Linked DNA regions of Saccharomyces cerevisiae S288C. Changing the gene in region 4 together with the main gene of any one other region gives a genetic interaction. Each region holds a gene or a part of one and is shown on either strand. Other genes may lie near its edges. The genes, in order: VPS71, URM1, ELP6 and DEG1.

Evidence for each region.
Region 1: mutations in DEG1 (region 4) and VPS71 together harm fitness more than expected from each alone (negative genetic interaction), as found in Saccharomyces cerevisiae (5 studies listed by BioGRID).
Region 2: mutations in DEG1 (region 4) and URM1 together harm fitness more than expected from each alone (negative genetic interaction), as found in Saccharomyces cerevisiae (5 studies listed by BioGRID, with this or other methods).
Region 3: mutations in DEG1 (region 4) and ELP6 together harm fitness more than expected from each alone (negative genetic interaction), as found in Saccharomyces cerevisiae (4 studies listed by BioGRID).

The regions. Positions count from the first base shown.
Region 1 is NC_001145.3:194,413-197,447, forward strand, and holds VPS71 (Vps71p), read right to left. Parts: upstream 1,344-3,035; coding exon 501-1,343; downstream 1-500. Other genes in the region: carnitine O-acetyltransferase CAT2, read left to right, coding at 1-388; YML040W (gag protein), read left to right, coding at 2,216-3,035. UniProt on the Saccharomyces cerevisiae protein: Participates in the catalytic exchange of histone H2A for the H2A variant HZT1, an euchromatin-specific factor, leading to chromatin remodeling and changes in transcription of targeted genes. Indirectly involved in vacuolar protein sorting.
Region 2 is NC_001141.2:340,903-343,335, forward strand, and holds URM1 (ubiquitin-related modifier URM1), read left to right. Parts: upstream 1-1,633; coding exon 1,634-1,933; downstream 1,934-2,433. Other genes in the region: long-chain fatty acid-CoA ligase FAA3, read left to right, coding at 1-526; NAS2 (Nas2p), read right to left, coding at 2,092-2,433.
Region 3 is NC_001145.3:896,413-899,726, reverse strand, and holds ELP6 (Elongator subunit ELP6), read right to left. Parts: upstream 1,323-3,314; coding exon 501-1,322; downstream 1-500. Other genes in the region: TGL3 (bifunctional triglyceride lipase/lysophosphatidylethanolamine acyltransferase), read left to right, coding at 1-348; PP1-complex regulatory subunit GLC8, read left to right, coding at 2,124-2,813; UPA2 (putative methyltransferase), read left to right, coding at 3,058-3,314. UniProt on the Saccharomyces cerevisiae protein: Component of the elongator complex which is required for multiple tRNA modifications, including mcm5U (5-methoxycarbonylmethyl uridine), mcm5s2U (5-methoxycarbonylmethyl-2-thiouridine), and ncm5U (5-carbamoylmethyl uridine).
Region 4 is NC_001138.5:145,519-148,959, reverse strand, and holds DEG1 (pseudouridine synthase DEG1), read right to left. Parts: upstream 1,830-3,441; coding exon 501-1,829; downstream 1-500. Other genes in the region: ATP-dependent RNA helicase SPB4, read left to right, coding at 2,026-3,441. UniProt on the Saccharomyces cerevisiae protein: Formation of pseudouridines at positions 38 and 39 in the anticodon stem and loop of transfer RNAs.

The DNA.
Region 1 (3,035 bases), on a different chromosome or scaffold from region 4:
AAAAGAGCATTCTACGTACCTGAAAAATGCTGCAAATGGTAATGGTGTCGATCGTCATTTCTTCGGTCTAAAGAATATGCTAAAATCTAATGATGACCAAATTCCGCCCCTTTTCAAAGATCCCTTATTTAATTATTCTTCAACTTGGTTGATCTCCACATCTCAACTATCTTCGGAATATTTTGACGGTTATGGTTGGTCTCAAGTAAATGACAACGGGTTTGGACTGGCATACATGTTGAATAACGAGTGGCTGCATATCAATATTGTCAACAAACCAGCCAAGAGTGGAGCCAGTGTTAACAGATTACACTATTATTTATCTCAAGCTGCTGATGAAATTTTTGACGCCTTGGAAAATGAGAATAAACGAAAAGCAAAGTTATGAATTTTTCACCTTTCCTCTTCAATTAATTTGTGAATATTTTTGTTAAGTATCTACACTTACATACGTATAAATAGGGGAGAAAAAAGGGCTTACGAATACATACTGATCATTACTATCTATTTCTGCACCTAGTTTCATTATGCAATTTAAAACAACTTACAGAACAAATCTTATTTCCACAATTAACGCAACTTGAAATACTATCGTAGCCACCGCAAATAGAGCATGTCGTAATTAGGGGTAACACTTTGAAGTATCGTTTATTGTAAACATTGTGGTAAATGACATTCTTATCCATCAAGTTTAGCAGCGCAGAATCTAAAAACGAATGTAAATTTCTTTTTGAACTTAAAACCTTCTTTAACGCCACAATACGATTGGTATTCTTCCTCTTTGGTTTAGGTAGTTTTGTAGATTTATACGATAATTGTATTTCCCGTAAGGTTTCTGGTTTAAGCACCCAACCATGACCATACTTGGAATGCTCTTTTACAAAAGAAGAACCACCCATTAATGCAGAGAGACCATCCGAGGTCTGTGAGATCGGTTTGGTTGTTGATTCAATTCTATCTCGTGGTACGCCTGTGAGATCACTTAATAAAGTCGGTACATTTGGTAAATCCGAGAAATTTTCTGTGTTAAGTTCCATAAACCTCCTGTCCGACTGGAGAATCTCTTGTTGTGTGTACCTTTCTTCAAATGAATGGGAATTCTTACTATTTCGGTCATCCTGTCTGCTTATACTATTGCCATCTCCCTCAGATCTCGAAGTATATAACCTGGCCTCTAAATCTGCCAGTGAGTAGTTTATGCGCTTTACGGGCCTAGAGGTGGATATTGTGCCTTGCTTATTAATCTTCTTTGAAGTATATCGACGTGCTTGAGGATCCAATGACGTGAAATATATGTCAGGATTGTAAGTTTTCTTATCAATCTCTTCAACTAGCGCCTTCATTTCGCTGTTATGAGTAAGCGATCCGTTCTTTTTCTTCGATCTATCAATGATATCGACGTTACTATAGATTGAAAGGGCCGCTTCGACTTTTGTTAATACTCACAAAGATCATCATGTTCATTATAAAAAAAGTAGTTATTAATTATCTATTACCCGGATCAAAGTTATTTCTACAGAACACAAATATTTTATTGATTGCTTCGTTACATAAAGCAACGACTAAATAAATATAAGCTCTCTAGCTATTCCACCGACTTCACTTCCTTAATGAATGGTCGTTTTTGTAATACTCCAAAAAAAATATCAAAAAAAGGGGCGAGCTGGGAATTGAACCCAGGGCCTCTCGCATGCTTTGTCTTCCTGTTTAATCAGGAAGTCGCCCAAAGCGAGAATCATACCACTAGACCACACGCCCTTGTGAACTTGTGAATCTTAGCCACTAAGGAATCACCGAATAGTAAAAGTTTTCTGACAACTACAATATTAAGCCCTTAACAACAATAATGAATATTGAGTGCATAATGTTGAAATGGAACTCTAAAATATCATTTGTTTAGTAGTATTCGTGTTACTAGTTGTTGGAATAGAAATCAACTATCATCTACTAACTAGTATTTACATTACTAGTATATTATCATATACGGTGTTAGAAGATGACGCAAATGATGAGAAATAGTCATCTAAATTAGTGGAAGCTGAAACGCAAGGATTGATAATGTAATAGGATCAATGAATATAAACATATAAAACGGAATGAGGAATAATCGTAATATTAGTATGTAGAAATATAGATTCCATTTTGAGGATTCCTATATCCTCGAGGAGAACTTCTAGTATATTCTGTATACCTAATATTATAGCCTTTATCAACAATGGAATCCCAACAATTATCTCAACATTCACATATTTCTCATGGTAGCGCCTGTGCTTCGGTTACTTCTAAGGAAGTCCACACAAATCAAGATCCGTTAGACGTTTCAGCTTCCAAAACAGAAGAATGTGAGAAGGCTTCCACTAAGGCTAACTCTCAACAGACAACAACACCTGCTTCATCAGCTGTTCCAGAGAACCCCCATCATGCCTCTCCTCAACCTGCTTCAGTACCACCTCCACAGAATGGGCCGTACCCACAGCAGTGCATGATGACCCAAAACCAAGCCAATCCATCTGGTTGGTCATTTTACGGACACCCATCTATGATTCCGTATACACCTTATCAAATGTCGCCTATGTACTTTCCACCTGGGCCACAATCACAGTTTCCGCAGTATCCATCATCAGTTGGAACGCCTCTGAGCACTCCATCACCTGAGTCAGGTAATACATTTACTGATTCATCCTCAGCGGACTCTGATATGACATCCACTAAAAAATATGTCAGACCACCACCAATGTTAACCTCACCTAATGACTTTCCAAATTGGGTTAAAACATACATCAAATTTTTACAAAACTCGAATCTCGGTGGTATTATTCCGACAGTAAACGGAAAACCCGTACGTCAGATCACTGATGATGAACTCACCTTCTTGTATAACACTTTTCAAATATTTGCTCCCTCTCAATTCCTACCTACCTGGGTCAAAGACATCCTATCCGTTGATTATACGGATATCATGAAAATTCTTTCCAAAAGTATTGAAAAAATGCAATCTGATACCCAAGAGGCAAACGACATTGTGACCCTGGCAA
Region 2 (2,433 bases), on a different chromosome or scaffold from region 4:
GGCGGTCTCTTTCACTTACGATGGATGGTTTCGTACTGGTGATATTGTTGAATGGACTCCCAAGGGACAACTTAAAATTATTGATAGAAGAAAGAATTTGGTTAAAACCCTAAATGGTGAATATATTGCATTAGAAAAGTTAGAATCTGTTTACAGGTCAAACTCCTATGTGAAAAATATCTGTGTTTATGCCGATGAAAGTAGGGTTAAACCGGTGGGTATTGTGGTACCCAACCCAGGACCCCTATCTAAATTTGCTGTCAAATTGCGTATTATGAAAAAGGGTGAAGACATCGAAAACTATATCCATGACAAAGCATTACGAAATGCTGTTTTCAAAGAGATGATCGCAACAGCCAAATCTCAAGGTTTGGTTGGTATTGAACTATTATGTGGTATTGTTTTCTTTGATGAAGAATGGACACCTGAAAATGGCTTTGTCACATCTGCTCAAAAATTAAAGAGAAGAGAAATCTTAGCCGCTGTTAAATCAGAAGTCGAAAGGGTTTACAAAGAAAATTCTTAGAGAGAAGCTTATTACCTTCCCCTTCCATCTATGCACGGTGTCTCGTACTTCCATAGAGCACCGATTAGTGAATACTAAAACTATGTGCGTGATAAATGGTTCTCTTTTACAGATGCGGTAAATCAATTATTGATATACTACATAACATACAAACATGTTTCATTTCCGTAATACAAATTACAATTGTATAATTAAAAAATATAAAAAACTTCGTGATATGAAATCACATTTTGCTATTGAGTTTGCCACATGAGCGGTATACGAACTATTCGTTATTTTATGACTTTAAAAGCCATACCGAAAGTAGGCTTGAGAAGTATGACTACTGTAGGAGTGACCACTACTGTTAAATGCAGATAGCCGTCTTATGCTCTTCCCTTGTTCTTCTGAATTGGGAATGCATAGCTTGAAACATCAATCTTAATAAGGTCTTGTTTGTTTCTGCTTGGCTTTCATAGTAGCAAATAGTTTCGACCTTAATGTAAGAAATAAAAGCAATCGTTAATTTGAGTAAAGATAACCACTCTTCCTCTTCTACTATCAATATAATAAGAATAACGCTTATGGTTTATTTTAGCTTTTTTGAAAGCTAAACATTAAAAAAGAATAAAAATGCACGGCATACCTACATATTTTAAAAACATATATTTTATGATTGACTTTAGCAAAAGTTGGCGCTGGGTACTTTGAGACTCTTTCCTACAAAACGTTACCAACACTTGCTAGTCTAATCTAATCTACTTAATCAAGGTTTTAGTGGCGTACCATGTGACGGCCATCAAATGCCATCAGTTCTACAAGTTCACATATATTTATATATAACTATTCTCCTAACTTGTATAATATTATACCGAGACAGAGGATAGATTCAATTGATTTCACATACCGGATTATGTTCCTTCCCAAGTTCTCAATCTTATTTAGACTTTTTTTTTTAATTACATTGTCGCCCACTTCGGCAGAAAAAATATAACGACAAAGTAATGGCATCGCATCGACCTAATGAAATACTACTGGCAGACGGTATGGAGAGCTCAAAAATTCCCAAAGCAGAAAACAATACTGATTTCTGATACTAAAACGAGATAGGTTAATAGCAAAATCGGGATGGTAAACGTGAAAGTGGAGTTTCTAGGTGGACTTGATGCTATTTTTGGAAAACAAAGAGTACATAAAATTAAGATGGACAAAGAAGATCCTGTCACAGTGGGCGATTTGATTGACCACATTGTATCTACTATGATCAATAACCCTAATGACGTTAGTATCTTCATCGAAGATGATTCTATAAGACCCGGTATCATCACATTAATCAACGACACCGATTGGGAGCTCGAAGGCGAAAAAGACTACATATTGGAAGACGGTGACATCATCTCTTTTACTTCAACATTACATGGTGGTTAAAAATAGCAGCAAATAATTTTTAAGAAGCAGCTACATATATATATATAAAGTGCTGTACAGCTTGAATGAATCACAAGTTAGATAACGTAGGTAATATGCAGATAGTATAAAAAGTAATAGTAATAACTGGATTGGTTTTTTTTAGTACATGACGAAGATTATAGCTCTTGTATCCTACAACCCAAAAGACCTCTACCATTCCAGTTTCTCGAAGGTGTTAGCGATGTCTTTAGGATTTGCCCTTCTCTCAAGAGAAGGACGGGAAGTGGCCTGTCTTCATTTTTCATTACAACCATCTGAATGTTTTGAAGTTTAGAGTGGTTTGCCGCATGCACATTACCAATAGAAATCAGCTTATCATCAACCTTTATGTCTGCTTTATCTGAAGGGCTACCGGGTACTACCTCACTGATAAATGCAAAAGGGATGGTATACTGAATAGCTTGATCGTCGTTATTCCTTCTTGCATCTTGGTTTGACTTAACGTTCATATTATCAAA
Region 3 (3,314 bases), on a different chromosome or scaffold from region 4:
CCGCTGGCGTTTAAATTTAAGTATCATCTGGAAAGAAAATTAAAAAATATTGCCACTATGGAATTTCGACATAGGATGGAGGTATTGGATAATTTAGGCCTGTTGTGCTCATTAATAAAAAGACTAATAATTGATGAAAAGACTCCCAGATCAGCTACGGAGATTGCTGTGGTACCAAGGATGAAAAGTCTATCATTAACAAGGATTATTGAAGGTCAACTAAACAACATTCCATACTGGATAAAATCTGGTGAACGAAGTACATGGCCCGCACTAGCTTTAATTAAGACAAGATGTGCAGTCGAATTTAAATTAGACGACATAATAAGAGCAAGACGGAGTAGGTAGTATCGTTTCCACTTTTTTCTGTCTTATTTTTTTTATTGATAGAGCTCGATTGCATATATTTTTCATTGATATTGTACTTAAAAATATATTCAGTTCATAGAAAAAACAATAATACGAGAATCAATGTGCCTCGTATATAATCTTATCATTATTTAGCGATAAAATAGTTTTGTTGACTCCTTCTCATTCAGATATAGGTATTCATTTTCAACGACGTGTAGGCTTGTGTTTGAAGTTGCAATGGGTGCGCCGCCCCTGCAAACGTGCAATGAGCCGGTTACGTCCTTTGCAAAACCGGTCTTCAGAGGATTCAAGTTCAAATTAATCATTGATTTGATAAAGGAAGATTTGTAGAAATTTTGCAGATTCGAGGAATGAACAGAAGCATCGTATTCATCTATATTAAATATGTCCGAATTGGAAACAATGATTAGCACTTTGCATTGCCTCAAAAGAGGTGTGATGAACTTATTGTTTAATTCTGAACAAGTTAGGCCGCTTACTAGCGACAACAGTAATTCTGGTTGTTCGATGATAACAATGGTGTCAGTTGGGTTATTTTGTATAGCAGCGGAGAACTTTGCGAGTACGTCACTTAGTATTTTGTCTCTTGGCTTATTATGGATATTATTAACGATGAAGTCGGACAGGAAGTCTAAAACATTGTAGTTATTAGATGGGATCTTTAGCTTGTTTAATGAATTTGTAAAATAGTTCTGTTCGTGGATAAACGACGCAAGGACTGCATGGGAGCGAGTTGACGAAGGTAGCATCGATGAAGAAGATTCATTAAGGGAACTTGGGGAACCTAACACGTGCGTTTCTACTAGTGCGTTTATCATCCATAGTGGTTGAGTACAGGATTGATGGGTGATGAAGAATAAGTTATGAGAGTTGCTGTCTTGGAAAAAGTGGGCAGGAAGCACTGATTGGTCGCTGAATAGGACCAAATCTTGTCGTTGAACACTACCCATAAATGTGTATTTAGTTATTTTTGTGGAGGTTCTGGACGGTTTTTGCCTAACTTCTACTAGCCTCAATTTAGTACTTTTATTTTTTTTTCATTTTTCATTCTGCTCATCGCCTATCAATTCATGCCTAAGAGATGCAAAGATAGCGTACTATAGATGTGAAAAGTTGGATAAACAAAGCCCATGATATAAGCCACGGCTTCAGCCTTAAAATTGGGGTTAAAGGCTAAGAACGAATTGCAAATTCTTTTGCTTCAGCAGGAATTTTCCAACAGCAAAGTATAAAAAATCTATCTAAGCCGCTTTTAAATTAAGGAGCGTATATAAAATTATATAATCACACTCGAAGGACCAATCTGTGCTCTACATACCTTACGCGCTCTAATAATATGATCTATGCTTCATCAGTCTTGTTTATTCTTAAAGTATTTTTTTTTATGTTTGGTTCTTGTTATTGAACAAAAAAATGAATTAACCCGAACACTACCAAATCAATAGCAGAAGAAAAGAAGAAAATGATAAAATAAAGGTGAGAACCATTTTAAAGCATTATTCATTATGAAATCCTCCTATCTAGTATAACTTGATTCGACACCTTGCTAATATTTCTCTGAAGCACTGTCTTTAGAGGCAAAACGGTACTATCGCATATTCTTACCCGGTTTCAAGTTTTGCCCTCACGCTTTTTTAGGGAGAAATGACTTCCACCGAAAGGATAATTTGAGAACACCACTACAACTTAAAGTCCAAGAGCTTCATCAGTACAACGAGTTCGTATCATCAAGAACGCACATCAGCAGAATAATGGGAGGTATACTTAAAAACCCGCTAGCCTTATCGCCGGAGCAGCTGGCGCAACAGGATCCAGAAACGCTTGAAGAGTTTAGAAGACAAGTTTACGAAAATACGCAGAAAAATGCCAAATTGACATCACATAAAAGGAATATACCGGGACTAGATAATACAAAAGAGGAGGGGGAGATAATTGGAACATCGAGTACCTTCCTTCCAAAGGACACACTGTCACTGAAACATGAGCAAGACATGTTGGCCAAGATGACACCAGAAGAGCGAGTTCAATGGAACCAAAGAAATTTAGCAGAAAATGAAATAACAAAAAAGCAGTTCCAAGATATTCACATAGACGAGCCCAAGACCCCCTACCAAGGTGCTGTGGACCCTCACGGGGAATACTACAGAGTAGATGATGATGAAGATGAGGATAATAGTGATAAAAAACCATGCCAGGTGGCAAACGATGACATCGACGATTTGTCCCTGGGCGAACCGGAATTTGAAATCAAAGAGAACAAACAACCGGATTTTGAGACCAACGACGAGAATGATGAAGACTCACCGGAGGCTAGACATAAGAAATTTGAAGAAATGAGAAAGAAGCATTACGACGTAAGGGCAATTTTCAACAAAAAGTCCCGTGAAGCGCTAAAGGACGAAGACGAAGACGAAGATGATAGTACGACAAAAGAACCATGAAACATGACACCTCCATAACGTTTACCTATACTAAATATATCTTATTTTTTGGATTCTTGGTACATAAATATGCACTGTTTGTTATCACGCGAAACGAACTGATTTTTTAACAAGCTTTATTTTATACATGAAAAATTTCCCATCGATGAGCTGTGATCGGCAAGTGAGAGTACTCTGTTTCACAACTACTACCGGTCCCAGGAATATATACTACTGACCACAAAGCTGTGTATCACTTAGTTTGATGAGCAGCACGAGGAAGTTCAAAAAGGTTGAGAAACCTCTATCACAAACCAGACATTATTCACTCTGTATCCCCACGACATTGGTATCGGACTGTCGCAACCTCTCTCAAATCACGCATAAGGTGTACCAAGTGGCCAAGTTTGCATCGCTGTTTAATGTTTCTGAGGTTGTCATTCTTGAGGACAATTCCCAGGTCGATGCCACCAAAAAAAAAATCTCCACTGCTAAATTAATACTGGCACTTTTACAATACTT
Region 4 (3,441 bases):
AAAAACTAAAAAAAAAAAGTGGAGTACAAAAATAAGGTCAAAATACATAGTTAAAATTTTGCTTCTTGATAATGAGATGAGGTAATTACAAGAGTTCTGCTTTCCTTCCCAAACAGTTTATTTTATAGTTGGTCTCTATATCAAGTGTTGAGTAAGTAATCGAATGGAAATTACGTACTTTCAACGCAAGAGCAAGACAAAAGAAAGCCTAAAACTGTCTTTTCGTGTCGGTCGTCCAATATCATCGTAAACGTGTGTAGAGCCTTAAATTCTAATTTCTAACTTTAAATTTTTTTTGCTATTATAATACTAATTTCTAACTTTCAACCTATTTTACATCTTCGGAAAACAAAAACTATTTTTTCTTTAATTTCTTTTTTTACTTTCTATTTTTAATTTATATATTTATATTAAAAAATTTAAATTATAATTATTTTTATAGCACGTGATGAAAAGAAATATAGTCTTCAAGGTTATATTATACAGGTTTATATATTATTTTACTTATTTTTGTTGTTCTTTTTCTTGGAGTATTTAGCATTAACAACTTCGACAGGTTCCATAACGCTTCTATCCTCTAGTTTCACATAGGTACCGACTACTTTACCTCTTCCATCGCCCAAATTAATAATTGTCTTTGAGAAGTTGTTTGTATTTGCTGTGGGCAAAACATCTTTAAAAATATTGCATACTGCGGCCTTAAGTTCGTAGTGTAACGTCAATGCTTCAGTAGCTGTCGTGAATTTTATTGCCTTATAGTCATCTACAGTAGGTTCTTGCCAATCCATTTCAGGAAATTTACAATCATATAACAATAATGGTATATCATTTGCCATTTCGTAAACAGGCCTTTGAGGGGTTTTCTCAATATCAGTCAGACGCAAGACAATTTCCGGCACTTCAAGTGATTGACCAACTAAGAAAAGAATGGCCATCATGCAACGAACTTGGTGCCATAGGAATGCTGAACCAACGAGATCAAAACAATAGAAAGTTTCAGAAAGGGGAAGAATTTTTGAGCTTATTATTGTTCGTTTAAAATTGGTAATTTGTTTTGAGCCATCAAGCTTACAAAAATTCCTGAAGTCTCTCTCTCCAACAAAATATGATGCGGCTTTAGACATTTTTTCAATATTAAGGTTTTTTCCATTAAAGATGTACTTATAGTGCCGGTGAACACAGCTGAATCTTGCGTCAAAGTTAGGTGGCGGTCTGAGGCAGACAGCTGATATACGAATATCGTCGGGTAGTAATTGATTTAAAACGTGAACATAGGGTATTTCCCTGCTGTCGTTGGTCGGATCCCGCTGTTCCTCATCTGTTAAATTGGAACGGACTTCTAACGATATAACTTGGTTCATGGCGCTAACTCCCTTGTCTGTTCTGCCACATCTGCTAAATTTATAGTCTTGTAAAACCATCGAGGGAACAAGTTTACACTTATTCATGGCCTCCAAAATGGTACCCTCTACTGTAGGCAACGGTGTGTATTCCTTCTGAACAGCTAAGCCATTGTAATTCCATCCCAAATAGGCAAATCTCAAGGCGATGAACCTGGTATTATGTTTAGAAAAGTCAAACTTCTTCGGAGCCTTTTTCGCCTTGCTTCTCGTAACCTCTTCTTGCGAAATTTTGCGCTTTTTGTTATCCTCGATGTGCTGGAATTTTTCAGAATGTGGCTTATTTGCGTTTTCTAGTTCAGTGATCCTTCGTATTAGCTGCTCTTTGGACCAGTTTGCGTAAATGGAGTCCTTCTTACTAACAATAGCATTGGTACCTGTTGAAATCGCTTTCATTTTCCCAACTAGCCTTCTAATGAAATTACTCATTCAAGGGAGGTTATAGTAGGGCAGTAAAGATTGCATGTGGGCACCTCGAGAATACTATATTATTCTTTATTTTGAGCCGGCTTTTCGCTTTCAAAAATTTTTCACTGAAAAACAAAGTGAGCTTTTCAAGATGAGCTGAGCCCATTGATTTGAGGTGTAGTAAGATAATATTAAAAGCTCAGCAGCAATAAAAACAATGTCAAAGTCATTGGAATGGGATAATCTCGGGTTTTCTTTACTTCCCTGGATAAGGACAGGACTCGATGTTATGGGTTTTGAGACCATGACTCCAGTCCAAGCATCGACAATTCCCATGCTTGCTGGCAACAAGGATGTAGTAGTTGATTCTGTAACAGGCTCAGGTAAGACCGCTGCGTTTGTTATACCTGTACTAGAAAAAGTTGTAAAGGAAGAAGCGAATACATCAAAATTCAAGAAAGCACACTTCCACTCGTTAATTATTGCTCCAACAAGAGAATTGTCACGCCAAATTGAGTCTGTCGTTCTATCATTTCTGGAACATTATCCTTCCGACTTGTTCCCTATTAAATGTCAGCTCCTGGTTGGTACTAATGAAGCCACAGTTAGAGATGATGTAAGTAATTTTCTGCGGAATAGACCGCAGATTCTGATTGGAACACCTGGTAGAGTTTTGGACTTTTTACAAATGCCAGCAGTAAAGACGTCAGCATGCAGTATGGTAGTTATGGATGAAGCAGACAGATTGTTGGATATGAGTTTTATTAAGGATACCGAAAAAATTCTGAGGCTATTGCCTAAACAAAGAAGGACGGGTCTATTTTCTGCAACTATGCGTAGCGCCGGATCAGATATCTTTAAGACAGGGCTTAGAAATCCTGTCAGGATTACCGTTAACTCTAAGAACCAGGCGCCCTCCTCTTTGAAATTAAATTACTGTGTCGTAAATCCTGCCGAAAAACTACAACTTTTGGTTAGCATTTTGAATAACTACAAATTCAAGAAATGTATTGTATATTTTCCAACATGTGTGTCAGTCTCCTACTTCTACTCATTTATCCAGTATTTGGGAAAGAGGAATATTCTCGTGAATGAAGTAGAAATATTTTCCTTGCATGGAAAACTTCAAACATCGGCAAGGACAAAAACTCTAACAGCTTTTACTGATTCGCTAAGTAATTCTGTTTTATTCACAACAGATGTGGCTGCTAGAGGTATTGACATACCCGACGTTGATCTCGTCATCCAGCTTGATCCCCCTACCAATACTGATATGTTCATGCATAGATGTGGTAGAACTGGTAGAGCAAATAGAGTGGGTAAAGCAATTACGTTTCTTAATGAAGGCAGAGAAGAGGATTTTATTCCTTTCATGCAAGTTAAAAATGTGGAACTTGAAGAACTTGATTTGGAAGTAAAGGGCATAACAACAAACTTTTACGAGGACTTTAGAAATTGGATACTAGAAGATAGGGATAGATTTGATAAAGGTGTTAAAGCATATGTTGCCTTTATTAAATACTACTCAAATCATTCCGCAACTTCAATTTTTAGGCTTCAATCTTTAGATTATGTTGGTATTGCGAAATTGTATGGTCTTTTCCGCCTGCCTAGAATGCCTGAGATAACAAAG